Linked DNA regions of Saccharomyces cerevisiae S288C. The gene in region 1 interacts genetically with each later gene. Each region holds a gene or a part of one and is shown in the gene's direction. Other genes may lie near its edges.

The links.
Region 2: mutations in LEA1 (region 1) and SNU66 together harm fitness more than expected from each alone (negative genetic interaction), as found in Saccharomyces cerevisiae (4 studies listed by BioGRID, with this or other methods).
Region 3: mutations in LEA1 (region 1) and BRE1 impair growth when combined (synthetic growth defect), as found in Saccharomyces cerevisiae (6 studies listed by BioGRID, with this or other methods).
Region 4: mutations in LEA1 (region 1) and MUD2 together harm fitness more than expected from each alone (negative genetic interaction), as found in Saccharomyces cerevisiae (5 studies listed by BioGRID).

The regions. Positions count from the first base shown.
Region 1 is NC_001148.4:148,781-153,397, forward strand, and holds LEA1 (U2 snRNP complex subunit LEA1), read left to right. Parts: upstream 1-1,833; coding exon 1,834-2,550; downstream 2,551-4,617. Other genes in the region: THI6 (bifunctional hydroxyethylthiazole kinase/thiamine-phosphate diphosphorylase), read right to left, coding at 1-1,411; pseudouridine synthase PUS1, read right to left, coding at 2,735-4,369. UniProt on the Saccharomyces cerevisiae protein: Involved in pre-mRNA splicing. Associates to U2 snRNA in a MSL1 dependent manner and is required for normal accumulation of U2 snRNA. Required for the spliceosome assembly and the efficient addition of U2 snRNP onto the pre-mRNA.
Region 2 is NC_001147.6:889,883-898,497, reverse strand, and holds SNU66 (U4/U6-U5 snRNP complex subunit SNU66), read left to right. Parts: upstream 1-2,110; coding exon 2,111-3,874; downstream 3,875-8,615. Other genes in the region: RNA-processing protein NOP58, read left to right, coding at 138-1,673; SLY41 (Sly41p), read left to right, coding at 4,406-5,767; MCH5 (riboflavin transporter), read left to right, coding at 7,066-8,615. UniProt on the Saccharomyces cerevisiae protein: Component of the U4/U6.U5 tri-snRNP particle, one of the building blocks of the spliceosome. Required for pre-mRNA splicing.
Region 3 is NC_001136.10:321,511-330,059, reverse strand, and holds BRE1 (E3 ubiquitin-protein ligase BRE1), read left to right. Parts: upstream 1-3,910; coding exon 3,911-6,013; downstream 6,014-8,549. Other genes in the region: YET3 (Yet3p), read left to right, coding at 1-224; AHK1 (Ahk1p), read right to left, coding at 493-3,447; 60S ribosomal protein eL31 RPL31A, read right to left, coding at 7,072-7,356, 7,778-7,834; RXT3 (Rxt3p), read left to right, coding at 8,508-8,549. UniProt on the Saccharomyces cerevisiae protein: E3 ubiquitin-protein ligase that mediates monoubiquitination of histone H2B to form H2BK123ub1 in association with the E2 enzyme RAD6/UBC2.
Region 4 is NC_001143.9:289,682-297,980, reverse strand, and holds MUD2 (Mud2p), read left to right. Parts: upstream 1-1,787; coding exon 1,788-3,371; downstream 3,372-8,299. Other genes in the region: Hsp70 family chaperone LHS1, read right to left, coding at 1-1,551; AAN1 (Aan1p), read left to right, coding at 3,673-5,025; PSG1 (Psg1p), read right to left, coding at 5,350-6,528; DHR2 (RNA helicase), read right to left, coding at 6,929-8,299. UniProt on the Saccharomyces cerevisiae protein: Splicing factor that contacts pre-mRNA directly and is a component of the pre-mRNA-U1 snRNP complex (commitment complex 2) that forms during early spliceosome assembly in yeast extracts.

The DNA.
Region 1 (4,617 bases):
TTGTAGAACCAAGTGAACATCCACTTGCAGTGATGTCACCCATGATAGGAATTGGGCCATCTTCAATTATTACACATGGAAGATCTTCAGCGGTTATTCCTTCTGTTCCTGATGAAAGTTTGTATTCGCCTCCAAAAGTACCATCAGCAACGCAATCAAACTCACCCGTGCAAACAGCAACAGTCCTGTATTGGAATGCCACAATTTGTGTAGCGCGCACAAGTGTGTCGATGTTCGTTTTGCCGCTGCTAGAGTCGACGCCCTTCATTTTATGGTTATTTAACTTGGCTAGAGACAGTATTTCACTGCAATTGCCCTTTATACAAGCAAATTGGCCGTAAGTGAGCAAAGTGTTGTTTAGACAGAGCCTTGTTTCAGTGGCGCTGTACCCGACCGGGTCAAAGGTGATGGGTCTATTTACTTCATTATAAGCATTAATTGCGGCTTTTAGCATTTCAATAGGTGCCACTGATCCGGTATTTAACAGTAAAGAAGCATTTGGGATTCTTGCTAGTTCAGATACTTCACTTTCAATTTCAGACATGATAGGAGATGAGCCTAAAGCTAGAGTGACATTGGCACCAAAATTTTGATGAACCTTATTGGTGATATGTTGCACTAATGGACGATTGTTTGATACTTGAGATATAACGTTTTGAATTGAAGTTGTGGTCGGAAATGTATTATTTAACTCGCACTCAACAAATTGGTATCTGGTAGCATCTAACAAGCCTCTCAACCTCTTGGTTGCTGCACATGCATCTGGAGCGGCCATAATATCGCTGACTAGAGAGATACCATCCAACGATCTCTTTCCATTTGAAGCAACACATTGACAAAGCACACGTTGAATATTGTCAGGATGAAGACCACCAATACCAACGGTTCTACACCATGTAGCTTTAAATTCCTCCAAAGCATCCAAAATGGCAATGGCGCCTTGAGGACCCATGGGTGATTTCTTAGGATTTTTCTTTGTTGATGTAGGGAAAAGAGTACCAACACCAATATAATCTACCATATCTGGCCCCCATTTAGCCAATGTCTCTACCTCCGAAGGTTTACCAACACTCCATCCAAGAATTTTAGAAGGGCCCAAAAGTTTTCTTACCATTGGGATTGGCATATCGTCCTGGCCCACATGAACCCCATCGGCGTCAATTGCCATAGCGACGTCTATACGGTCATTGATAATAAGTGGAACATTGTACTTCTTACATATTTTTTGAACTTCTAAAGCCTCTGCAACGAAATTTTTTGTTTCAATATCCTTTTCACGGATTTGAACTAGCGTTACACCATTTTTCAACCCAGCTTCAACCTGAGAACATAAAGTAGTTCCCGGTGGAAGCATGGTAGAATCTGTAACCAGATATAATGAGTAATCAACTTCTTCCTTAGTAAATACCATTTCCGCTGTTTGATTTAAATAATTTAGCTTCAGAGTGATTTGGTCTTGAGAACCATGGTTAGATCGAAAACTAGGCGCTTCCACAAGTAAATGGATGCGTTGCCGCTATAAATATATGTAGTATTGATTTTGTTACACCTGCTAAATAGGTTCTTACGATTGCCTTTTTCCTATAATATGCATAAATTATGTTGCCCTAAAAGAGTGAAATAAACCTTATCTATCTTTTTTTTGTTCCTGGTTTTCAAAGTTGATTTTCGACAGACCCTAGTTAATTATAGGAAAAAGCCCTATTAGTCTTTTTCTTATCATAGATGACATTTACTTATATTAGGCCAATCGCATACTCTGCATCCAACAAGCCTTCAACAGGTCGAAGTGAAACTACAGGACTTGGAAAATATCAGTTTTTATAAGCAATAATGAAGTTCACCCCTAGCATAGTTATTGATGCTCCGCAATATTATGTTGATCATTTTAATGGCAAGTATAACGTGGATAAATGTGTTATTTTAAGAGACCTGCAGCTAGAAACGGATTCAGAATCCATGCCATCCAGCTTAAAGCATTTGACCAAACCTACGCACATCTTGGATTTGACAAACAATGACCTTATCATGATTCCAGATCTATCAAGAAGAGACGATATACATACATTACTGTTGGGCCGAAACAATATCGTTGAAGTAGACGGTCGCCTATTGCCTATGAATGTACAGAACCTTACATTATCGAATAACAGCATAAGAAGGTTTGAAGATCTTCAAAGGTTGCGTAGAGCGCCCAGGACGTTGAAGAATCTAACTTTAATAGGGAATCAAGTATGTCATTTAGCCAATTATAGAGAACATGTACTTCGATTAGTACCGCATTTAGAGACTTTAGACTTTCAAAACGTAACAGCTGAGGAAAGAAAGAGCGCAATGAGCTTTCCAAGGCAGGCGGACGGCGATACGTTGGGCCCAGTAAATACTGCAATAAGAGATAATGGATCCAGAGATAAAACGATGGAGATCATGAATTTGGTGGTGAGTAAGATGACAGTAGAGAGAAGAAATGAATTGAAAAAGCAGTTAGCAGAAGCTACTTCTTTAGAAGAGATTGCCAGGCTGGAAAAACTACTCTCTGGTGGTGTTTAATCTTTTGGTTAGTGCGACTGTTCAATGACTTAAAAAAAAAGAATTATAAATTATTCTGTGCCATTATATAATAATATATAAAACGAAAACAAATAATGGTGCTCTATAAACATTAGAGGACAATGTCAATTTCAATGTCAATGCCTTAGAAATTAAAGTTGGTAAGAAAGAAGGAAAGGGCAACCTAATTAGCTGCCGCTTCCGGTTGTACTTCAGGTTCGTTGCTCTGAGTGGTGCTGGATATTTCAGCCTTTTTACTAGCAGCTTCCTCCTCTTCCATTCTTTTTCTTTGCTTAATCTTCTTATTGCTCTCGGGCGCATCAGTAAGACCTGGGATACCCTTAGCTGTCAAGAATTCGAAGATACTCTTTTGCACAGCAGGTCCCGATTTATCGGCAGTTTCTTCTCCCTGTGCTCCAGTAACCTTGTTGAAACTATCAATATAACTAAAGAACGCATTAAAAACATTTTCGTCCACCTCTTCCTTGTAGATCTTATCGTAGATATGCTTCATTTTGAACTTATCCACTTCGTCTTGATATTTGGAAAAATCGATCGCCTTGTAACCAAACTGTTCTAGTCTTTTATTATAACCTTCAAATACTGGAGCTTCTAACAATAATCCTAATGCAGGTGCCTTCGGAATATTAATCTTCTGCTGTCCGTAAGCCTGACTAATGCGTTCGACGGGGCAACCACAACGGGTAATTAAGGTTGCCATTGATACCATCTTACGAATTTGATGTAGCATGAAAGACTGGCCGTGAATCTTGATGGAAATCCATTCTGTTTGGGCATCGCCAATAACAAATGGATCAGATACTTTTATATCTTTCATAAATCGAATGGCACTTGGTTCTTTGAAGTCCTTGCCTAATGTAAAATTATGGAAGTTATGAGCGCCAAGGTATTGACTTGTAGAAGCACGGAATTTGGCCAGTTTTGCCGCGGATATACGATATCTTCTACGGTGAGCATTTTCTAATTGCTTGTACTTTTTTACCTTCTGGTATAGTTCTTCATTTATATCAAATTCATCTCTTGCGGGCGGAACATATGCTAATATAGCTTCGATTTCTTCTGTTGAAAATTTTTCATTCGCATCTTTTTTAAACTCTTCCCAAAATTCTTTGGATTCCAAATCTTCATCTAATACACCAGGTAATTCTGTTTTACTTTCTTCGATGTCTCTATAAAGTATAGAACCAGGTTTGGGGCCAATGAGTGAATAAGTTGGTAATAAGTATTCGTACCAACGTGAACTGCACATTTTTCTACAATCAAACGCCTTGTTCACACGCTCGATATCCCATACCCTTATCCCTTCCGGTAACTTTTCGTTGATCTTCTGCTTGATATCAGGATCTTCAATAATCATTTTCAATGATATTAAATTACCTCCAGCATGGACACCCTTATCAGTTCTTGCAGCTCTCATGAATCCATTCTTTTTCAAATCGTTGGAGTTGTCCTTGGAAATAGCACCTGCTTCAACAAATGCTTTGAATAGGGCAGACTCGATGGTTGGATTTGGTGGATTATATTGCATACCATGGTAGCCAGTACCACAGTAACCAACCATAACAGCCACCTTTCTCTTTGGGAGACGAGGCTCCTTGGGAAGTGGATTGCCATTTTCATCCAAACGAGGACCGCTTTTTGGTCTTTTATCTATGTGTTTGTCATTATCCTTTTTTTTGTCCTTTTCATCGTCGAAGTCTGCCTTACGAGCTTTGGTCAATTTGCTCTGAGCGCCTCTCTTGTAGACATCCTCATTAACTTGATCGTCATAGGCAGGCCTCAAATTCTCTTCAGACATCCTTGATATCACTTATAATTGTTATTTACTAGCACTTTATTGTCCTTTATTATTTTTTTAGTACTTCTTGTATTTCAAATTTCTCGAACTATAGCGATGACTAAAAGTGAAAAATTTCAAAGCCAAAAGAAAAAAAAAAAAAGAAAATATTATTTCAGCGGCTAATAGTTACCCGCATCAAAATAATATATCTCTGTACGGTAATGAAAATTTTTGAAATATGCGATGAGCTTAGAACTAAAGTAAGC
Region 2 (8,615 bases), on another chromosome or scaffold:
GGAAAATTTTTCAACCTCATCGAAAATTTTCAGAAAAGCAAGAATTATTTATGCTTTCGCAAAAATTTCGCATATAAGTTATTTTTGAAATAGCAGTCGATACCAAATTAGCTGTAGAACCTCAACCTCCTCATACAATGGCTTACGTTTTAACTGAAACTTCAGCTGGTTATGCTCTTTTAAAAGCTTCCGATAAGAAAATCTACAAATCTTCAAGCTTAATTCAAGACTTGGATAGCTCTGACAAAGTCTTGAAGGAATTCAAGATCGCCGCCTTTTCCAAGTTCAACTCTGCAGCTAACGCTTTAGAGGAAGCCAACTCCATTATTGAAGGTAAAGTTTCTTCCCAATTAGAAAAACTTCTGGAAGAAATTAAAAAGGACAAGAAGTCGACCTTGATTGTTAGTGAAACTAAACTGGCAAACGCTATTAATAAGTTGGGATTGAACTTCAATGTTGTTTCCGATGCTGTAACCTTAGATATCTATAGAGCTATCAAAGAATATTTGCCAGAATTGCTGCCAGGTATGTCTGATAATGATCTAAGCAAGATGTCTTTGGGTTTAGCTCATTCCATCGGTCGTCACAAATTAAAATTTTCTGCTGACAAAGTTGATGTTATGATTATTCAAGCAATTGCTTTATTGGATGATTTAGATAAAGAATTAAACACATATGCCATGAGATGTAAAGAATGGTACGGGTGGCACTTTCCTGAGTTAGCTAAGATTGTTACTGATTCCGTCGCTTATGCGAGAATTATTCTAACAATGGGTATCAGATCCAAGGCTTCTGAAACAGATTTGAGTGAAATCTTACCAGAAGAGATTGAAGAACGTGTCAAAACCGCTGCTGAAGTGTCTATGGGTACTGAAATCACTCAAACCGATCTAGACAACATTAATGCTTTAGCTGAACAAATAGTCGAATTTGCCGCTTACAGAGAACAGTTGTCCAATTACTTGTCTGCAAGAATGAAGGCTATTGCTCCAAACTTGACTCAGTTGGTTGGTGAATTAGTTGGTGCTAGACTTATCGCTCATTCAGGTTCCTTAATTTCCTTGGCCAAATCACCAGCTTCTACCATCCAAATATTAGGTGCCGAAAAGGCTTTATTCAGAGCTTTAAAGACCAAGCATGATACACCAAAGTATGGTTTGCTATATCATGCCTCTCTTGTTGGTCAAGCTACTGGTAAGAACAAAGGTAAGATTGCAAGAGTTCTGGCTGCTAAGGCCGCTGTCTCATTGCGTTATGATGCTTTAGCTGAAGATAGAGACGATTCAGGTGACATTGGTCTAGAATCAAGAGCCAAAGTAGAAAATAGATTATCCCAATTAGAAGGTAGAGATTTAAGAACTACTCCAAAGGTTGTTCGTGAGGCTAAGAAGGTGGAAATGACTGAAGCTAGGGCCTACAATGCAGATGCTGATACCGCAAAGGCTGCTTCTGATTCTGAATCCGATTCTGATGATGAAGAGGAAGAAAAGAAAGAAAAGAAAGAAAAGAAGAGAAAGAGAGACGATGATGAAGATTCCAAGGATTCTAAAAAAGCTAAGAAGGAAAAGAAGGACAAGAAGGAAAAGAAGGAAAAGAAGGAAAAGAAGGAGAAGAAAGAGAAGAAAGAGAAGAAGGAAAAGAAGTCCAAGAAAGAGAAGAAAGAGAAGAAATAAGGATGCATTTTACATTTTAATAATTAGTGACCCCTCGCGTTCCCTTTTATTTGGATTTAGAAAATTTTCTATAATTATCCAATGCTTAACCTATTTCTCATTTCATATTTTATTCCATAATCTGTAAATTAGTGCTGTACGCCCATATTGAATTGAACTTATTATTTTTTTTAGGTGATATATTTGAAATAGTATACATAATTTATGTTTACATAGTTTTAGGTACTTTATATCATTAAAAGTTTTGTTTAACCTTTAAAAAATTTGTACCATTAGCAGTTATAGGTATTCATATCGTGAACTGCGCAACTTAAAATTATTCGCGGGACGAAAAAGATATACAAAATTTTTGAAAGTGAGCAAAGGATGAGATGGTGCAATCGTTACTATTTGATATTAATAAAAAGGCAATCATCACATCAACCCTTAATTAATTTATGAACAAAACGGAAAACCTTTCTATTGAGGAGACAAATGAAATAAGGGAAAAGCTGGGTATGAAACCTATTCCAGTTTTTCAAGAAAAGAATACAGACCATAAAGAGTCTTTGTCAATCGAAGAGACGAATGAGTTGAGGGCGTCCCTTGGCCTAAAACTTATCCCACCCCAACAAAATTTCAATTCTTCTCCCCCTAATGTACATAACACATCCAAAATCGATGAACTTCGAGAGAAGATAACAAAGTTTCAAAAAAAGGCGAACGCTCCTTTACGAATGGCGCACCTTCTCGAAGAAACTAATGTAAATGACGACAGTTCATGGCTAGAAAACATGGATGCAATTCCTTCCTCACATGAATCCAAACGTTCCAGCACATTGCCAAGAAAAGGCGCCACGAAGGAAGACGAAAATATTGATCTGCATAATGTTCAAGTATCATATAATATCGAGGCGCTTAGCCCAAAGAAAGATACGATTCTAACTTTGAAAGAGAGCAGTATTTTTGATGATACTGATTCTACCGAAGTGTTAGAGAATGTGAAAGCTGCCGAGGAAAACGCTGATAGAGAGAAACTACGATTACGACAAATGAATAAAGATAGAAGACAAAAAAAAAAAATTTTAAATGTATCTAGCTTAGATATTGAAGAAGAAGAAGAAGGAGAGAAACACTCAATTACAACTACACATCTAATCATCGGAGCAGAACAGGGTGTTATGAAGGCACCGAATACTATATCAGCAAAACCACCAACGGGAAAAGTTAAAGTGAATTTCGATAGCGCAAATAATATGTCAGATGAAGATGGTGGAGACTTTAAACCTTTAAAAATTAAAAAACGTAAGATCAAGGACCCAAGATCTACTAAAGCTAGGAAGTCAAAAATTACTGATAAGATGGAAATTGTTAAGTTAGTAGATGAAGATGAAAGTTTATCCTGGATGGAAGAAGAACAGCCAGTCACCATAATAAATCCCAGAACAAGCTCAAACAATGAATTGAAAGGGCCAGAGGACCTCGCTAGAGAAATTGAAAAGGCAAGAGACGAAGAGAAGCGACGCACTGAAAGCATTTTGAAAATGCGTGAAATTTCCAACAGTATTGTCGTCGACGAAAAGGTAACTTTTTTAAATACTTTGGATACCAGTCTCTCCGAACGAAGTGCTACTGAGAATAAAGTGAAAGTGCATGGTGAAGGAGAGAAAAATATCGGAGATGTTACCAATGGACATACTAAGGAAGGGAGTGGAAACAATACACTGACTGAAGCAGTTAATAATGAACCAAACTACGAGGGAGATGCTGAAAATGCACCGAACTTTTTTTCTGGTCTTGCATCAACACTAGGATATCTTCGGAAAAAGAGTGTTTTCACCACAGGAGACGTCGATTTGAAACCAGGAAAGGATGTTAATAATAGTGAATCACTTCGAAGGGATGTCCGAAATAAAGAGCATACGGGCACTGGCACTTATACAAAAGATAAGCTACACGGACTGGAACAATTCACATCTAGTGACTCTTCCAATGCAAATACTCATTCAAAAAGACAAGATCATTATGATCCTGACATAAAACTGGTTTACAGAGACGAAAAGGGAAATCGACTGACTACTAAGGAGGCATATAAAAAACTGTCACAGAAATTTCATGGTACAAAAAGCAACAAGAAAAAGAGAGCAAAAATGAAATCCAGAATTGAAGCAAGGAAAAATACCCCTGAAAATGGTAGTTTGTTTGAATTTGATGACAATTAACCTAATCAGCAAATTCTACTAGCCCCAGCTTTTAATATTCAATATCTTGTTTTTCTCAAGTTTGAAACCTGTGTATAATTGTATTTGGTGTATAAGGCTACGTGGTGGCCTTGAATTCGGAAGTACTTTTCAAACATTAATATTCTGTGATATACATTTGTAAAGACCTTTTGCGTTGTGCCTGAATCTCAAGCCATTGTGTCATTTCACAGCGAAGTGTCATTGTTTTAAGCGATAGAAGCTTGGCGCAACGATCGGATAAAAAAAATTGAAAAAAAAAAAAAATTGAAATGAAAATAAAAACAATCAGATATTCAAAAAATTGAATATCTGTATTCATAAAGAGGAGAAAAAAGAATAAAGAAAAAAAAGAAAAGAACATTAGACTACACGTGCAGCATATACCAACTATTTTTATTATATGCTTATATATGCAAAGCTTACGATATTTAGAGAGTAAGTGGATTGACGATAAAAGTGTTTAATAAGGAGCCATTCGTTTTTATAAAGGAGAAACAATACCGGCCTAACATGATTCAAACGCAAAGTACAGCGATCAAACGACGTAATTCTGTTCATAAAAACCTCTTTGATCCATCACTGTATCAAATACCAGAACCACCACGTGGGGGGTTCCAACACCAAAAAAAAGAATACAGTAAGGAGACATTCAGTAATCAAGTCTTTGGATATGATATTACTAGCCTTAAAAAAAGATTCACGCAACTATTTCCTAGTAATATACAAGGGTACTTACCTGAAGTTGACCTAAGAATAACCATTATTTGTTCTATATGGTACGTCACGTCATCTATTTCAAGTAACCTATCTAAAGCCATTTTAAGAACTTTCAACCATCCCATAGCTCTCACAGAATTGCAATTTCTTGTTAGTGCTGTTCTATGTGTTGGATTTGCTTCCATCGTAAATTTATTCCGACTACCTCGTTTGAAGCATACGAAGTTTTCAAAGGCACTCAATAGTTTCCCTGACGGTATCCTTCCTGAATATCTCGATGGCAATTTCAGGAGTTCTATCCTGCACAAGTTTTTAGTTCCCTCAAAGCTGGTTTTGATGACCACTTTCCCTATGGGAATATTCCAATTTATTGGTCATATCACATCGCACAAGGCGGTATCTATGATACCAGTATCACTAGTGCATTCCGTGAAGGCATTATCCCCAATAATAACAGTTGGCTACTATAAATTTTTCGAACATCGTTATTACAATTCCATGACTTATTATACCTTGTTACTTTTAATTTTTGGCGTTATGACTACTTGCTGGTCAACACATGGCAGTAAGAGGGCTTCAGATAACAAAAGCGGATCTTCATTAATCGGGTTGCTTTTTGCCTTTATTTCCATGATAATATTTGTAGCACAGAATATTTTTGCAAAGAATATTTTAACCATCAGAAGGAAGGTAGGAATACTGCCGTCTTCTTCTACGGATGACGTCACGTCGAAGGAAGGGCAACCGAGTCTAGACAAAACAAGATTTTCTCCATTGCAAGTGGATAAGATTACCATATTGTTCTACTGCTCCTGCATTGGGTTTTCTTTAACCCTATTACCTTTTTTAACCGGCGAATTAATGCATGGCGGTAGCGTTATCAACGATTTAACGCTAGAAACAGTAGCCCTTGTAGCGATTCATGGAATAGCCCATTTTTTCCAAGCAATGCTTGCTTTCCAGTTGATCGGTTTACTATCTTCCATTAATTATTCGGTAGCAAACATCATGAAGAGGATTGTTGTTATATCCGTGGCACTCTTTTGGGAAACAAAGTTAAATTTTTTTCAGGTGTTTGGTGTTATCTTGACAATTGCCGGATTGTACGGTTATGACAAATGGGGGCTTTCCAAAAAAGATGGACGTCAGGCATAATATGAAGTAATACTATTGAGTACAAACCATCATTCAAGGTAGGACACTTAGTACTATATCAAATATATAATCAAAAAAAAAACCCTCGAAGGTCTTTTTTATCTTATTTACTGCTACTACCTCTGTTGCTAGCATTACTTCAAGATCCTAAACTGTTACCCCACCCCCGCACCATATCAAGGTTAAAAATCCGATGTGGCGGTACTTATTTGGTTATTTATCTCATTTACATTAATATGCGTACGGGAATGGCCTTCCGCTCCGTGGAGGATAAAGTGCGGTCATTTTATTATTTTTCGAAAACAATGGCTACAATCCCTTGATTATCTCACATGCGATTACAAAGCAAAAGAGAAGATTCGCATGCAGGAGCCATACACGCGTCTTTTTTAAGGTATTTCCACGATCTCGCGGAAAAACTTATAGAACGAACAACTATTGCTTTAACTAGGAAAGAATAAGAAAAAATAGCGATCATACTAGAACCCACAGTCGAGGCACAAGGATTTTGAGGATTGCTCTACCCCTAATGCCTATTGCTTCGATTGCTGAAAGCGGATCTACTCCTTTTTCCAAGTACTCGAAAGGTTGAGAGAAATAAAAATAGACTAGTCGACGGACAATGCCAATAAAGTTTGGTTATACGAACTGCTTTAACCAAATTAATATTGGACAGACTCCGTGTTTTTTGGTTTTGCCCTTTTTTCCCGCTAGAACGACATTGTGTTTCTCCAAAATTATTCCATCTTTTCCCTCGTGTTAACAATAGAGTCACAACGCACCTGTTATTATGATCTCGGGGGTGGCTTCCCGAACATCGTCGGTTGAATACTGCGCTTTGGCGTCCGAAAAAGAAAAGATAGGAAAGGATCGAATTTTTGACATTTTTCTCAACCTGCTGCGCGCTGTTCTATAGACGTTTGAGGCACCTGAAAAAGAAATACAGCGGAATAATTACTGTTCTGCTGAATCGCCCTAGGCGGTATTGTATGAGGCTAATAATAGAGAGACATCTCTGAAAAGAAACTAGAGGAAAATTTTTCAAAAATATCTATTTTGCTCAGAGAAATGAATATAATAAAGAAGCTATTTGGTTAGATCTCCCAGTAGTTACGGGGACTAGATATATAAACTGCTTGATGTACGTTTGGAAATTCTCAAATAGCAATTCTCTCTTCAAAGTTAGTGAAGGATAGGTTATATCTGTAAAAACATACTAAGATCTGAATAACTAAGATCACGGGGGCATACTATCGATTAAAAAGCTCTGATTTTACTATAGATTAAAAAGAAAAATAATGAGCTCAGACAGTTTAACGCCTAAAGACACTATAGTTCCAGAAGAACAAACCAACCAACTGCGGCAACCTGATTTAGATGAGGATAGCATACATTATGATCCAGAAGCTGATGATTTAGAGTCATTAGAGACTACTGCCTCTTACGCGTCAACGTCGGTGTCGGCAAAGGTGTATACCAAGAAGGAAGTAAATAAAGGAACTGACATTGAAAGCCAACCACATTGGGGTGAAAATACCTCGAGCACGCACGACAGTGACAAAGAAGAAGATTCCAATGAAGAAATTGAAAGCTTCCCGGAGGGTGGATTCAAGGCTTGGGTTGTGACATTTGGTTGCTTCTTGGGTCTAATTGCATGCTTTGGTTTATTAAACTCAACGGGGGTCATAGAAAGTCATCTACAGGACAATCAATTATCCAGTGAAAGTGTTTCTACCATTGGTTGGCTGTTTTCTTTGTTTCTTTTTGTTTGCTCTGCCTCATGTATCATTAGTGGTACTTACTTTGATAGAAATGGATTTAGGACAATTATGATTGTGGGCACGGTTTTTCATGTAGCCGGTCTGTTCGCTACCGCCAACTCTACTAAATATTGGCACTTCATACTGTCCTTTGCCATTGTCTGCGGGTTCGGTAATGGTATTGTACTGAGTCCCCTAGTAAGTGTTCCCGCCCACTATTTTTTTAAGAGACGTGGTACTGCATTGGCAATGGCCACTATTGGTGGTAGTGTGGGTGGCGTCGTTTTCCCAATTATGTTGCGTAGTTTCTTCTCTATGAAGTCAGACACTGATCCAACTTATGGATTTGTTTGGGGCATTAGAACTTTAGGATTTTTAGATTTGGCTTTGCTAACTCTGTCAATCATTTTAGTCAAAGAGAGGTTACCACATGTTATCGAAAATTCCAAAGATGGTGAGTCACGTTGGAGATACATACTCAGAGTTTATATTCTGCAATGTTTTGATGCGAAGGCTTTCCTGGATATGAAATATCTTTTTTGTGTCCTGGGAACGGTATTTAGTGAGTTATCCATTAATTCAGCTCTTACTTATTATGGATCATACGCCACCAGCCATGGAATTTCTGCTAATGACGCCTACACCTTGATTATGATTATAAATGTCTGCGGCATACCCGGGAGATGGGTTCCTGGCTATTTGAGCGATAAGTTCGGTAGGTTTAACGTCGCAATTGCAACTCTACTCACTCTATTTATCGTCATGTTTGTTGGTTGGTTACCATTTGGTACCAATTTGACAAATATGTACGTTATTAGTGCCCTATATGGATTTTGTTCTGGAAGCGTTTTCTCCTTACTTCCTGTTTGCTGTGGCCAGATATCTAAAACGGAAGAGTTCGGTAAACGTTACTCTACAATGTACTTCGTTGTCGGTTTCGGTACTTTAGTCGGCATTCCGATAACAGGTGCCATTATCTCTATCAAGACAACGGCCGATTACCAACACTATATTATTTTTTGCGGTTTGGCAACTTTTGTAAGCGCTGTTTGCTACATAATTTCGAGAGCATACTGTGTTGGCTTCAA
Region 3 (8,549 bases), on another chromosome or scaffold:
TTTTAACCATGAAAGACATATACAGAGCATCGCCTCCAGTAGCCTCCAGCGATGTCAAGAAGAACGACTCTGTTACTGCCGAAGCTGCTGCTCAATCCGGCGCTTCCAAGGATGACCACGGCGATGAGAAAAATTTTGAACTATTGAAGAAAATTCAGGACATCGATGACGAAATTGCACGTTTAAAGGAGAAGTCGGAATCGTTGCAAGAAGAAATAAATTAGTTTGACGTTTTATTCCTTTTCTTCTGCACAGAAGTGTGTATATATATATTTATATATAGTCGATGTGCAAAAGCCTACATTATTTTTCTTTTGATTTTTATTTTTTTGTTCAAGTAGGTTCATGCCGACAGTAAATCCTTATGCCCTACCTAAATATAAACACCCAAATATATATATATATATATATATATATAAATAATAAAAACGGAAAGGAAATAGAATAATAATAATAATACTACACGTTTACGTATGTAACTCATTCTATTATTCAGACTTTGATATTAATAGAATTATTACTACTAGGTTTCCTCACTTCAAAATCTATAAATATACCGTCATGCTCTAATCGATTGGAAAACTCAAAATATTCTCTTACTGTAGCATTGAACGTCTCAATTAAAACACAGATTTTTTGTATCCTTGTTCTCAACTTCATATCTTGGATCTGCTTCCAAATTGTCACCTCCCGCCCCCCAGTAACTTTCAAATCTTCCACATTCTGATTACCAATTTTGGCTACATCTTGCTCATCTTCCATACATTTGCCAAAAATATTAAAATCAGGCACCGGTATCTCAAAATCTAGACCATTACCGCATAAGGTAGCTAAGTTTCTCGTCTCACTTTCGTTCTTAGCAACACTCGCAACCAAATCTTTCGGGACGGGTAAAGGCTTCATGTACTTACTGCCTCCGTGGATTGTCCCCCATTTCATGTTCGCCAAATCTATTTTTTCGACGACTCTTCTATTGGTTTGAATAAATACCAGTTTGAATATTGTAGCAATACTATTGTGTTCCTTGATTTCATTAGAAAATCTCAACTCTGGTGGACCTATCAATATATTCTCCCTCCTATTGAGCTTGATACTTGAATTATATGATACCATTGATCCTGAATTGTTACCATGCTTAAAAATTTTTTCAATATTACTAGATGACTGCTTCGGCAAAATTTCTGCAAAATCAGCCACATCTTCATCATATTCAAAATCGTTGCCTAATTCATTTGCCTGTTCCTTCTTCTTCTGTGAATCTTCAGAAGTACTTGAAAATTTTGAAAGCCAAGTGTTCAGTGTTGCCGATAAAGAACTATTACCTTCCTTTCTCTTATTTTTATGCGAGCCACTATCTTCTGAGTCTTCATCATTATCTTCGTTTTCCTGACCTCCTTCGTAGCCATCCATAATTTTGTGATTTTTTTTGGGATTTAGTCGGGTCTTCTTTTCTGCAAGAAGAAAGGCAGCTTTACTTGTCATTTCGTCCAAAATATCATAAGCGTATTTACCATTTTTCAAGATAACGTTAGGTCTTGTATTTGCCACTGAGCTGACAGAGGGAAATCTTTCTGTAGTTAAATTTTTATCATGATTAATCTTATAAACTAAGTGGTCCTCTGTATTTGGTTTTTTTGGAATCATCATCAAACGTGAGTTACCATTAAAAACGAGAGCATTCTTTCTATGCGCCACTATATCATTTGAATCGTGTTTTTGCATCTCAAATAACTCCTCCTTGTTTACCAGTAGCTCTTCATATAGTTGTTTAATTCTATCATGTGGCAAGAATCGTAATGAAGAAGAATTTTGAACACTTGGAATGATTTTAAAAACTAATACCTTCATAAATAAAATTCTAATCAAAGGAAATTCGTTTTCAAAAATCAATGACTCCCAAAAATCACTTAACAGCACTTTTACTATTTCATCGCGGTCCTCAATGGTTACGTGCTTCCAAATATTGAAAAGGCATAATAAAGAAACAGTCTGGCAGTTAACATTTTTGGTCCTTAACATACTCAAAAGCCCATTGTACCACGACCTCCATTGAATGAATTTCAGAGAAGGTAAACTTTCAAACTGGAAAATAATAAACTGGAGAACCTTATTGTAAATGACGTTCGCTGCAATATAATCGTACGCTGAAATAGTGGAGACATAGTCTATCAATAGAGACTCATGTAAGGAAAGCATATTTTCCAGGTATTCCGGATGATTTTCTTTAAGAATGCATCCTGAAAGGCTTCTAAGACATTCCCATAATTTGATTGTCTTAAAATTAGAAAATACGTAATCATTAATCCTTTCAGATGTAATTAAAGCATTGCTACTATTCAAACTCTTGAAATTTGGATGTGACTCTGTCACATTCTCATTTGCTATCCTTGGATTCGGCGTTTGTTTAATAATCCGCGTGAATTTATTCAAATCTGAATTCAAGAATCTAGTGGTTACATGCGTCAATAAAATTTCTGAGCCAGGTATGCATGACAATGTCGATTTTTTAATTCCTACATCTGAATCAGAGAATTTCATAAATTGAAGTATGATATACCAATAGTGCCAATAAAATGACATAAGTACAAAATCATTTTTAATATAAGAAACAATGATCTTAAAAAATTTAGTATCTTTATTTTCAAAAGCTTCAGTGCGGATCATTTGTCCCTGATCGTCGGTGAATTTATATTGTCTCTTCTTCCATGAAAACAAAGATGTTTGAATACTTGAAGAGATTTGAGGAGAAACTGTCAATAACAAAATTGTATCGAAATGAAAGTCTTCTGGTAGATAAAAAAATGCGTAAGCATTTAACTTCCCGATGAATGCTCGCAGCAAGGAAGAATATTTGTTAAGGTATTGCAGCTTCTTGTCGTTTATAGAGCACTTGTCATCACTATTTGTACGTTTAAGTTTTTTGGAGTTTTTAGAAATCAAAATCAACTTGTTTGTTATGCAATGAATGGTCAGCAAAAGATGATGTGAGTATATTTCCATGTCTCTGGATGAATGGAAAGGCAATATTATTAGTATGGTCATAATTTTGCTGAGGCACTCGAGACACACGGAAGTTAGTTCTATGCTCAAGCTCAATTCAAGGGCAGTATCTATTTGAAGCGAGGTGTCAGAATTTAGAAAGTTTAAAAGTGTGACCCACCATTGGGTCAAAACATCTCTAACCTCCAGTGTACAGTTGCTTCGTGAAGAATCACACCATTGTCTTAGAACCGTTAGTAGTTTCAAGCGTAAAAAATTTGAGGAGGATTTGCAAAATTTTGTATTTTGTTCTTTATTACTAGCTGACTGATTAGCATTGTTTATGAAATTGATAAACCTGTTCAACGATTGAAATAATTGAGTTTCATAATTGTCCATCAAGAAGCCATCTTGAGACGTAGTCTTTAATCCACATTCATATAGTTGATTATGTATGGCAGGACCCATGCTTAATGAGCAATATGATCTTTAGTGCTACAACAATGCGTATATAGCATACGAAGCACAATCGAGTTCAGAATTGTTTCTCTACCCACGAAAGATAATATTGGGAAAATCACTGGTGAAATTCTGAGATCGTTAATTTCAGTGGATTCAAAAAGAAAGAGCAGATCGACAATAGGCACTAAGGATGTCTTCTAACTTTGAAATGAAGCACCAACTGATCGTACTTTGATCAAACCATCGTTATTATATAAAAGTGACAAAAGCATTTGATCACGTGATTATAATCACATCCAACGAAACTTTCTTAAAGAAGGCGAAAAAACAAAAAAGAAGAAGATTAAAAAAAGTTGGATGGATGTTGTTTGAACGGTAAACTAACAGAGAGCGCCCCAAGGTTTTTAACAGAGATAGAAAGGGCTTTCACCGTTTTTATGCTAATCGTGCTAGCTGATAATAATCAGATATGACGGCCGAGCCTGCTACTAAGAAGATCAAGCTAGAATTAAGCGATCCTAGTGAACCGCTTACTCAATCTGATGTGATAGCGTTTCAAAAAGAAGCTTTGTTTAGATGTATAAATCGTCGAAGAGTCGACTTTGAAGCCTTGCGAAAGCAATATGAACTTTCAAGAAGGGAGTGCATAGATGTTTCCCGCAAGTTGGCAAATATTATGGCGCTGATAGTAACTTTAGCTAGGTTTATCGAAACATTCTGCACAGACGCCAACGAGAAGCAACTATGTAGGGAAATAGCCCAAGGCGATGAGACGTTGATAGTTCAGCGCAGTGATTCTTTCATGAAGCTACTGACTAAATATGGGAAGCCAAACACGACAGATAGTAATACTAATAGTAATGCTTCGGATCATATTCAAGAATTAACAACGGAGTTAAAAAACTTGCGGAAAAGTAAAGAGGAGCTCTTTTATGAAAATTCGCAATTGACAGAGGAGATTTCTGCTTTGAAGGAATATTATACAAATATAATTCGCAAGTATGATAGAGATGAATCCTTTACTATAAAACGTGTTTTTAAGGAAGATAAGACTGATGCTGTAAAGGAATTACGGGAAGATGAAAAAGAATCTAATGAAAACAATATAAAATCTGGAAATAAAGACTCCTCTGCAATTAATGGTGATAATACATCCAAAAAATCCGAGAAAGGTGATGAACTTGTGCAGGCGGAGGATGAACGAAAAGAAGATGCTGAGAATGAAAAATTAGAATTGGATCTGAAATTTTCTGATTTACGGGCAGAGATAAACTCCTTGAGTTCCACTATAAAAGACCTTGAAAATATCAGAAGGGAAAACGAGGAAGAGCTCATCAAAACACGTTCTGAGGTATCCAATTTAAAAAAGCAACAGATAGCAGCAGCAGACCAAGACCCAGATTTCAAGTCATATGACCATGAGTCCCTGTTAGCAAAAATTCAACATTTGACTGAACAAAACGCAGAATTATCTGAGATCAATAGTTCCTTTTTATCAAAATTTCAAGTTTTAGCCAAAGAGAAAGAAATATATACGAAGAAGGTCCGAGAAGAATTCCAGAAAAGTCTCGACTCCCTAGTAGAAATGAACAGTTCATTGGAAAAGGACGTTGTAAGAATAAGAACGGCTCGTGATGATTTACTAAGCAAAATCGCCATTTTGGAAGCTGAAAAATCCAAGACTGAAGTGTTGAGCGATTTACAACATGCAATTGATATTTTGAAGGAGCAATGGACAAAAATTGATCAAAGATCAAACGATACAAAATCCTCGTCGACTCAAGATGCATTAATAAAGGAAATTCAAGACTTAGAGAAGGGTTTTAGAGAGTTATCCGACTTAACTCATAAAAAGTACTCTGAGATTATTAATCACGAATCTGTTATATCCAAGCTTACCGTAGAAAAAACTAAGGCTGATCAGAAATATTTTGCCGCGATGAGGTCCAAAGATTCAATTTTAATTGAAATCAAAACTCTTTCTAAAAGCCTCAGTAAATCAAATGAGCTTATTCTACAGTTAAAGGACTCTGATAGATTGCTACAGCAAAAAATAGGAAATTTACATAAACAACTGGATCTTTCTCAAAATAATGAACGCAGGTTAATTGATTCCAGTAAAACAGAGACACTAAAAATAATTGATTTAAATAATACATCCACTAAACTGAAAAGGTCATTAGAAAAGCTACAAGAAGAAAGTAACAAAAGCATTGCAGATATGACGCATCTAGAAACTAAATTAAATGATACAGAAATAGAATTGAAGCACTTCAAGCAGAAGGCATCTCATCTAGAATCCAAGTGTGAAAAACTACATGATACATTGTTCCGTGGTAACAACAAAAATAAGGGCTCGAGCGATGAAGCACTCGTAGAAGAACTAGCAAATTTCCGTACACTTGTTTATTGTTCCCTGTGTTCTAAAAATTGGAAAAACATGGCTATTAAAACCTGTGGCCATGTCTTTTGTGAGAATTGCTGTAAGGAACGATTGGCAGCGAGAATGAGAAAATGCCCTACATGCAACAAAGCATTCAGTTCCAATGATTTATTGACAGTGCACTTGTAATACTAATTATTCTACCACTTTTCCACTGTTTGTGTTATATCCTCCACATACATATACATATAATATATGTAAATCTAGTTTTGTCATTGCTTTTATTTTATTTGCGTACATCCTAGCCTAACTTCTGAATCAAAGAGTGACGTCTACTGTCGCATGTTTCCAAAGAAAAACTCTAATTGTACATATCATGCTGATAATTCCTACAAGCCCTAAAGATTCATATAATACTTTGGGCGGCCGGGTGAGAGAACGCCCGCGACCTGAAAAATTTTCTGTGATTTTTTATTATGACCTTAATCGCGCTTGTTCAAGATATATTTTCATCACAAATGTCCATACATATATATATATATATATATATATATATATCAACATTTGTAACATAACTCTTCTACTGCAGTCCTTGGGGGGAACAAGGATAATAGCAGAATCATATCAACTGGAAAGGACAAGAATAGATTTATAAACGGGTGATAAGATTAATGGTATAGTGAGTTCACTCTGCCGATAGTTCTTGTCATTTCTTTAGCTTCTTGCTGCTCTATGTTTTGCTGAAAGCGAATGAATTATGGACTTTTAATGATGAAGATTTTAATTTTCCGTTGGTCTATTAAGAACAGAAGTACTTCAAAACTACTTTTTAAGACCATCCTTTTACAGTATTTTTTCAATATTGTAAAACTTCTCATTTACTTTGTGTCTTTATGATCTCATCGTTCTGGTGGACCATAATCAGACGCACGGTATACTTCGTTTCTGTTGGAGAATATTGGGAGTCTTTTAATGTGATGAGTGGCCAACATAACCTTATAGTCATAGTTACACTGATTTATCCATTTTTATCGCCTTCACTTATACGTAGACTTGCATCTTTTAAATAATTCGAAGGTAACCCTTTGTACAAGCGTAGCAGATGATATCATTGATAAAAATTGATCTGAGTGCCCCGCTTCAATGAATACAGAAGTCTTGGCTTGAGTACAAGAGATTTATACAAATCGAAAATGTTTACTTTATATTTATTAATATAAAATGAGTATTATTTTTATTTAATTGATTTAAGCATCTTCTTCGACAACAACAGTTTGTAGACCCTTGGCAGAAGCAACTAAGACAGGTTCAACGTAGGAGAACAATGGGTTCTTGGCGTCTTCTTCTTCGTTTCTCTTTCTGGAAATTCTCAATCTTAATCTGTATTCAACACCCTTGACACCTCTCTTCCAGATAGCTTGGTTCAATTCTGGAGCTAGACGGACATCATCAGTACCCATGTGTAACTTGGCGAACTTCTTAATTTCCTTGACAGCTCTTGGAGCTCTCTTCTTGAAGGAGACACCGTGCAACTATTAAAAATAAAATGGTAAATTTTTTGTTAGTAACGATTGTTCATTTTAATATTAGTGTAATCTTGATGAATGGTTTTGTATATTGGAGACCCAATTTGTTCTGATTCATATTTAGTCAAACTTGGGATATGGATAATTGTCGACTTAAAATCTAGGATTCCACTATTTAAGATAACTATTTCTGTCTTCATCGCTCTTTAAGTCCAGCCGAAGTGTATCTTTCCCCTCTTGGATGTTATAATATTGATTATGGTCTTCAAATTCCGTATTATAAAATATATCTTGATCAATGATCTTTGTTGATAGGTTTCTGTGGTACAAATTCTTGATATTGTATTCCTTGACTATAGAAATATCTTCTTAATTAACCATTCAGATGACAAGCCCTTGGGCATTATATTTTTATTCTTTCACATACTCTTTTGTGCAAGTTAATGGTGTATTCACGAGTGACAACGTCTTTCAAACCGGCCATTTTTCCTTTGATTGAGTTCTGTTTGCTTATTAATTCTTTCTTTAAAACTTGAATGAAATTATCACTAGTTATAAAATCTTCAATATAATTCAATACTATCTTTCAAGCTATGAGATTCAACCCGCCTAATGCGAGCATGAGTAAAGTCAAGCTATGTCTGCCTGCGCAGTTGGGAGAACGAAAATGCCAGAAAGAAAAGCCGCAAACCTGAACGGAGCTTTCCCATCCTCCGCCTGCGCAAGAATGATCCACCATCGAGAGAAAGCCTTTCTGGGCTCTCCCACTTCCTTCCGTTGCAAAACTGTCGCCTAGCGTTTCAAAACTGTCCACGAAGGCAGATTGTCCAAAAAAAAAAGCACCACAAATCATTTCTCAATTTCAGAATACAAAGGTATGGGGGTAAAAATAAAGATTGGTGTACGGAGGTAAAGGTATGAAAATATTGTGAATAATGGAAAAAGGGCCCAGAAGGGGAGAGGTTCGGGAAAACAAAATATAGTATCAGCACTTCATGAATGTAGAACACAAGAATAAGCATCTCCATTCCGGCATCAAGTGCTATAGAATTCCATGACAGCGTTTTGACAAATAACGGTATTTTAGTACGAAGGTAAGGGAAAATTTACTCGCAGTTTTTTTTTTGAGAGAAGTAACAATACAATATAAGATAAAAATGTCGGTAAGCGAACAAGATCCTAATAGGGCGTACAGAGAG
Region 4 (8,299 bases), on another chromosome or scaffold:
AGAGGAATATGAATTCTTTATAGCTCCTGAATTAACTGTGATAGTTTCGAACAATTTACCATTCTCAAATAAGTCAATGGTAAAATTATTAGGAATCGAATCAGTCGTGTTTGTCAAAATAGATGTTTTGTTTGGATAAGCACTTCCGCGCGTGAACACATCATACAGTTCAGATTCGTTTGATAATTTGAATGAATAAGTATTTACAGAACGGTCAACAACATTTAACGGCTTGGTCTTAAACGAATTAGATAACTTGATCCCTCTCATAACAACACCATTCACAGCTGATTCATCAGCATTGACATTTCTCAACACTTTTTCTTCGGATACGAGTTTGATTAATTGATCCTGCACAATGGGAATTCGGGAAGAGCCTCCCGCCAAAATGACCCCATTTATCTCAGGTAAATTTGTTCCATAGCCACCGAATTGTTTTGTAACAGCGTCATTTATGGGTTTGACAATGTCCAATAACGAGTCTGCAATAAATTCTTCGAATTCCTGTCTAGTTATAGAAGTACGGAAATCAATATCGTTGATCAGTGATTCTATGTTAATACTTGCCTCAGAATTGGCGCTTAAAATTAACTTTGCCTTCTCTGCTGCTTGGTTGATTTTTGCTAAGGCCTTGGGATTAGCGTGCAATTCATCAGTTCTTATGGCTGGGTGTGTTTCCAAAAACTTATTCTCTATCAAACTGCCAATATCCATTGTAAACTTTGCACCACCTAGATGTGGATTATACCCATATCCTTCAAATTCTATTGTAACGGGCTGAGTAGTGTCCTCCGGCTGCAATATAGAGAACATTGAGGCCTTAATAGAACCGCTCCCCATGTCATATACGATATAATGCTGCTGTTCACCTGGTGGAAATTGGCGCTGCTTTAATACAAAGTTAACTGCAACAGACATCCCTTCACTAACCAGATATGTCTCTTCGATTCCTGTGGTTATTGAACTGGCATCTAAAAGTGCTTTCCTTTGATGTTGGTCAAAAAAGTCAGGAATTGTAAAACTCATCTTGTTTACAAAGTCCTCAGTTCTTGCATCTCTATCCTTCAACAGTGAATTGGCTCTATTGGCAATCTCTTGGACATTCATTGCCACTAACTCTTCCAATGGATATTCCACATTATCAACTAAAAAGGCTATGGTACTTCTATTTGTTGATACCATTTCTAAACCGGGGTGTTGTTTTGAATACAAAGTTACAGTGGTTTCATCTTCTAGTGATTTCCCAAGTAGCGGTTTCAAATGCAACAATGTGTTTTGGGGAAACCTTGTTGCTAAACTGCCAACAGCGGAACCGTAGATTCTTTCAATCCCATTCGGATCATCCTTTCCATAACCTGGTAATCTTTTTATCGAAAGACCAGATATCTCCTTCCGTTTTGCCTCTGGTGTGAGCACAAGTTCTAATGGGGCTTGCGGAGAAACCACAATGGCCTTGATATTTTGCTGACCGTAATCAACACCTAAAACGGCTGCTAAAGACCCTATAGCAACAAAAGCTGTTAAAAATAAAAGCCTTAAAACGTTTCGCATGGTAATATGCGTACTTATTTGCACTAATAATGCCAGAATACTGCAGGAGCGATACTGTTAATATTACGCTGTAGAATGGATCACTTTTATAACAGCGTGTTCGATATTATATATTTGAGGCGCGCGCCTAATTAGCAAGTGCTGAAAAAATTCGAGATGAGAAATTAAACTGTACATGCTAATATAAAAGAAGTAGAAAAGGAAAGTTAATTGACACAGAAAACAAGCACACGGAGATGGCTGATGAAAAGAGACTGGAGGATTTGAGATCCAAAATAATGGAGTCTATAGGAAAATCAGAAAAGGATGTTGTGCCGATTGAGAACAAAAGATTCAACACGGATAATGCAGTTATAGATACACATTTTAAGAGGCAAAAAAGTGACGGTGAGCTTCCGAAAGCGCCAAAAAGTAGAAACGTTTCACATTCTAATAACAGAGGACCATCGTCAATAATTACTATGAGCACGAATCGAACGACTTATGAACAAACAAGGGCAGGTCCTCATCGTCAAAGTTATCGGGATGCATCGGGAAGATCATATAACAGGGAGAATCGGTATAGTAGTCACAATACTGGGCCCCAATGGAACAACAATCCCTATAATAGGCAACGGGATGAAAGAAGAGGAAGAAATGAAAGGTTCGATAGAAGGGGAAGAAATGGAAACGGAAACTACGATCGTTTCAATTACCAAAGGAAGAACGAAGGTTCTAAATTCAATGGCGACCGTGATAAAAGGCAGTTGCAAACTAATAAATATGACATGAACTATAATTCCCAAAATGTAATGTACCCGGGTTCATCATTCGATTCTCCGGCTTACTACAACATGGCCTCATCCAAGGCAAATTCAAGGCTTGTAATTTCGGGCTTGTCTCAAAGCAGCGACCCCAGCATTGTAGCAAGATTGAAAGATTTGCTGGAAAATTTTATTTCAGGTCTCCAGAAAACTGAGAGTAATGCGGAGGACTTTAAAATTTCCAACTTTTATATTGGTGAAGGAAGGCCGGACCATATTATTGTTGAGTTTAGTTCTCAGATCTGTAGCACTATGGTTTTGGCCTGTCGATCATTCTTTAATGCGAAGCTTGGTACTTTCGACTTAAAATGGAGAAGACCTAATGATTATGTTCAACAACTTGATCATCTGGTCGATTTTTGCAGGGGTACGGTAATTGCATTGGAAAATTTGGAAAATATAGGCGAGGGTGAAGATTATAGAATGAAAGAGCTTTTTTCGTCATTGAATGTAACAAACGGTACCGCTAAGCCACTTTTTTACAAATGTTCGTCCAATACAAACAACACTGGCAAAGAATCCGAATTCACTAAATGTATTCTATTATCGTTTGAAGTCGTCACTCAGGATATTCTTGATAAATTAAAACCATACAAATGGTTCAAGCCAAATGATGGAAAGATATCACAAGTTACTTCATGGATTACGTTTCAAAGCCTGCCAAATCTGGTTACCCAATCTGTTCGTGTTGAATCGAGAGTTTTGTTGCTCTTAAATTGTCTTGATCCATTGGATTTGAAAGATGAAACCTTTATCACAGAAATTAAAGAAACATTAAAGTATAGTATCGCGGGAGCAGATACGATTAAAATATGCCAACCCGGCGTCGATTACAGACTTAATTTTGAAAACTTGGCTTCCGGAGCCGGTAATATTTATATCAAGTTCAAGACCTTGGAGGCAGCAAAACACGCAATGGAAGAATTGCCGGGTACGCAATTCAACGATCGCACTGTTCTGTGTACTTATATAGATGAGGACGACTTTGACATGATGGAAGCAACCCAACTTTCCTAAATGGTCTATTTTGTAGAGCGAAATTAAGTAAAGAATTGAGTATTCATTATGTAGATCTAATCTTTAACGCAGTGAAAAAAGTCCTCGTTTTTGGTGACTTTTTTTGTACAATTACTTTTTTGAAATATAACGAAAGTTAGCAGATTGACTACTAACTTGCGATCTGGAAAATTAAGAGAATTCAAACTTTTTTTGTTGCATGGGTCAATAATCATCATTAGAGCTTGCCTTGATCAATTTCCTTCACATTTTTGGAATAACTAACATTATAAATCAAGCCTAGTATAGCGCGCCAAAGAAGATGGCTAAAGATTTATTGCCCAAGCAAGCGGCCAACGAGCCATCGTTAAAGGACTGTACCTGTAAAAGATGTCTTAAATTGGGTGCTTCAAAAGAAAAAAAGATTAGAAGAAAGAAGAAAGGTGAGGAGAAAAGAGAAAGACATTATGGAAATAGACGAAAGTTAACATTCAACTTTTTGAAGCATACGAACATGGAAAATACAAATTACGACGTAATCACTTCGGTTGGATATCTGAATGAAAAATACGGATTGAAAAAATCACATTACATTGAAAAATTTATCAAATGCATCCATAGAAAAATAAATATCGATGTTAGCAAAATTACGGACGCCTATGTAAACTCGCTAAACCCGTGGGTTAAAGTAAAACTCTTCCTTTTATTGGTGACATTGTCTGAAAAGGGTGGTCCGGAATACTGGCTAGATAAGACAGATGGTGAAAAGAACTCAGAGGCGTCTTCAACAGATAATAGTTTGGAAAATTCTACTAAAGGAGCAGATAGCGCTGGATCTACTGCTTTGAGAGATGAAATGGTCAAAAGCCATAAAAACCTTTTCCCAACTCTTACAGAGCAAATCATACAGCATAACATCAACCAAGATTTTACGGAATCGACTTACGACGAGGATTATGTATTTTCGTCAATTTGGGCAAACTTCATGGAAGGACTGATCAATCACTATTTGGAAAAAGTCATTGTACCTTACTCGGAAATGAAAGTCTGTCAGCAATTATACAAGCCTATGATGAAAATTATCTCCCTCTATAACGAATACAATGAGCTTATGGTCAAAAGCGAAAAGAACGGATTCTTGCCTTCTCTACAAGACTCCGAAAATGTCCAAGGTGATAAAGGCGAAAAAGAGAGCAAGGATGATGCCGTTAGCCAAGAAAGACTGGAAAGAGCGCAAAAGCTGTTATGGCAAGCTCGAGAAGATATTCCAAAAACAATTAGCAAAGAATTAACGTTGTTATCAGAAATGTATTCTACATTATCTGCTGATGAGCAAGATTACGAATTAGATGAATTTGTTTGTTGCGCAGAGGAGTACATTGAATTGGAATACCTACCTGCCCTTGTAGATGTCTTGTTTGCTAATTGTGGCACGAACAACTTCTGGAAAATTATGTTGGTGTTGGAACCCTTTTTCTACTACATTGAAGACGTCGGCGGAGATGATGATGAAGATGAAGATAATGTGGACAATAGCGAGGGCGACGAAGAAAGCTTACTTAGCAGGAATGTGGAAGGAGATGATAATGTGGTTGAGCGTCATTTTAAGCCTGATCCAAGGGTCATTACACTGGAAAAAATATGTGAAGTTGCTGCAAGACAGAAATGGATATAAGGAGAAATCAAAGGAAAAGAAGCAAGATCCAGCGTTTTCTTTTGAACCCTGGAGGATGCTGATGCATTCTCTATTTATTTGGTATCAAATTGTCGTACAGATGATTTATATATGTTAATATTGTTCAGTTTACACTAATTTTAATTTACCGTATTTACTATCCAAAGGAGAAAAAAAGAAGTATATGGACTTCAGTATTTATACAATATCGAGTTAAGATAAGTTAAGTAACAAAAAAAACTGGATAGAGTGGTTTTCTATTAGTGTGACGGAAGATAAAAACAGCCCTCTCGAGGAAGGGTGAATGCATACTTCGAAGGGAATCTAATTTTGTTTACTGGTTTTCTTATAAGATGGCAATTCGGTGTACTTGTGATTTTTCATGTTTTTGAATTTCTTCATCTCCGAGAACTTACCCAAAACACGGCGTTTCTTGTTTAAAGCTTTTCTAGTAACATCTGTGAAATCTCTGTTTTTCCCGTTGACATATAAGAAAAAGTACATGAAGACGAAAAATACCACCACGACAGTAGGGATAGATAATGCAACATAATACCACTGATCATTTGTTATACCTGCATCGTCTAAAGCCAGTTGCTCCTTAGTAGGCTTAAACACTTTTGAACCCTTAGTGATGTATAATAAAATACCGTATTGTAGTGGATCGAAATCTTCATCTGATATGTATATTGGCTGAACTGATACAACGATCCTACGATCAAATTGGTCCTGCAGCCATTCATCTCTGACCTCAACCGGCATTAGACCGTTGTCATTATCAATCCATTCGGAAGAGAAAAAAGTTGCAGGGATATCTCTTTTATAATTGCCCTTCTCTACGGGGTTTTCTTTAACATAGGACAAATGAACACGAACCTTATCAGCAACTTTACCGGAATTCTCATCTGTAAAAAATCTTGTATACCAAGTAACGAAGTAAGTCTTGTCAACCTTCCATCTAGAATTCTCATAAGGGGTACAAAATGGCTCACTGCGGATATCCTTTGCTAGACCTTTATTGAAGTAAAGATTAGGAGTACATCTGACAATAGGATTCAGGGAGACGTAGGTGTCATCTTCATCAATATACTCTTCTTCTACAAAAACTTCATTAGGGCCCATATTGTGAGCCTTCAATTCTTCATAAGAATATGTGTGGGAACTTACCGTTTTGAAGTAAGTTGAGTAATCAGGTCTTCCCTTCTTGGTTCGACCTTTGTTGATTTCTGGTTTAATGGTTTTTGGCCTACCATCATGCTCTAAAGATACCCAAGGTTTCAATGGATTTGGTGTTTCTTCTGGTTTTTCAGAAAAAGTGACACCGGCAATGACCGTAGGAGTGACTAATTCTTTTTGACTTCCATAAACCGTACGTAACCAAGGTTTAACTTCTTCTGAAGTAGTCATTTTCTCCTTTGGACGAACGACTTGTCTTGCACCATGAACATGTTGATAAAGCGATGCCAAAGAAAAGAAGATAAGTATACTATCGTGAAATCTCATTATTCCGCAATTCCTTCAGATCCCGCAGAACTGCTTCCGACTATATTGTCTTAACCTTTTTGCTAAAATATTTTGTTCTTCAAAAGTAAAGAATAGCTTGCTGAGAGAAATGCGTCGAATTGCCTTTCTTATTTTTTTCATGATCTTTTATTCCTTTTCAAAATGTCAACGGCAAAATAATATAATTTCGCCCTTTTCCCGAGATAATTTCACAAAAAAAGCCAACGAACAATTCGAAAGGCGTTTAACATGAATATACATATATACCTGTGTATATTCATAAGATATTGAGAAATGAATCCATGAAACTCATACTGCAGTAGTTGTTACGATTTATAATGCTCTATAAATTACATTAAATGCCTTTATATACAATAAAAATGCGCTAAGAGTAGGTGACTTATTTTGAATCAGAAACTTTTTGCTTTGCTACAGCGGCTGCATTAGTGACAACTTCTTGTAACCATGAAAGTTCAATCCTACTAACATTTCTGGCATATCCCTTCGTAGTAAAGACATACTCCGTGTACATTATACCGGGGCAGCTTTTATTCATAAATAGCATAGATGATGGATGAATGCTTATCGGCTCTCCAGTGGAAACAGTTCTATAAGACCTGTCTGGCATCCCTATAGCTGTATTCTTGATAAACCCAGTTAAGAAACACTTTAAAATTTTCGAAATTAGCTCGCCATCTTCACCAATCTTTTTGGATTCTTCATCCTCTTCACTGATTGAAGAAAACAAACGCTTACAATAAACTCTTAACTGGTCTCTGACACGAATTACATTTTTAAACCCACGTATCGAAATACACAATCCTTTACACCAATCATTTCTTTCAGAGCTTGCATCTTGACTTTTCCCTAGTTCGTAGAAATAGATATCAAAAAGCTCTTTCAGCATGATAAGGTCACCATACCTTTTACCAGCGTTGCATAAGGACAAACGACGCTCGTTCACCTCATCTCTTTCTTCTGGTGACGGATTCAACAGTAAATTTTCCACACTAAGGCAAGAGACGATATCAATGACCTGACTCAAACATCCGACTTCACTGGCTTTAATTAAGACACTACTTAAATGCGGTTGTAGCGGTAACAGAGCCATTTGTTGACCCCGTTTAGTTATCTTTCCACGAGTGTCAAGAGCACCCAATTCATAAAGTTCCTGAAGCCCCATTACTATAGCTTCCTTTCCAGGGTTCTCAAACCAGGTCCAGTTTAGCAGGTCATCAACACCATATCTCTTCAACATTAACACAGGAGATGTGACGTCACTTCTGGCTATTTCAGGTTCACTTTGTTTAGGTAATTTCACATAATCAGACTCACAATAAAGCCTGAAACTCTTTCCTTCACTTTCTCTACCAGCACGACCACTTCTCTGCATCGCACTTGCCTGAGAAATGGGTACGGTAAGTAGAGTGGCTAATCCCAGCTGATGTCTCCAAACTTTGACTTTTCGAAGACCAGAATCAACGACAAATTTAACACCGGATATGGTAACAGATGTTTCTGCAATATTGGTACTAAAGACGACTTTTCTCTTGAAACCCTTTATCGGAGCGAAGACCAAGGACTGTTGGACCGCGGGAAGAGCTGCATATAAAGGATAAGGAACTATTAATGGTACTGGGGCCTCATCTGAAACATACTTTGCAATTTTCTCCATTATAGTCACTGCTTTGTCAATCTCTTCTTGGCCCGGTAAAAAACATAAGATATCTCCCAGTTCTTCACCTTGGTTTATTTGTATACAACACCTGAT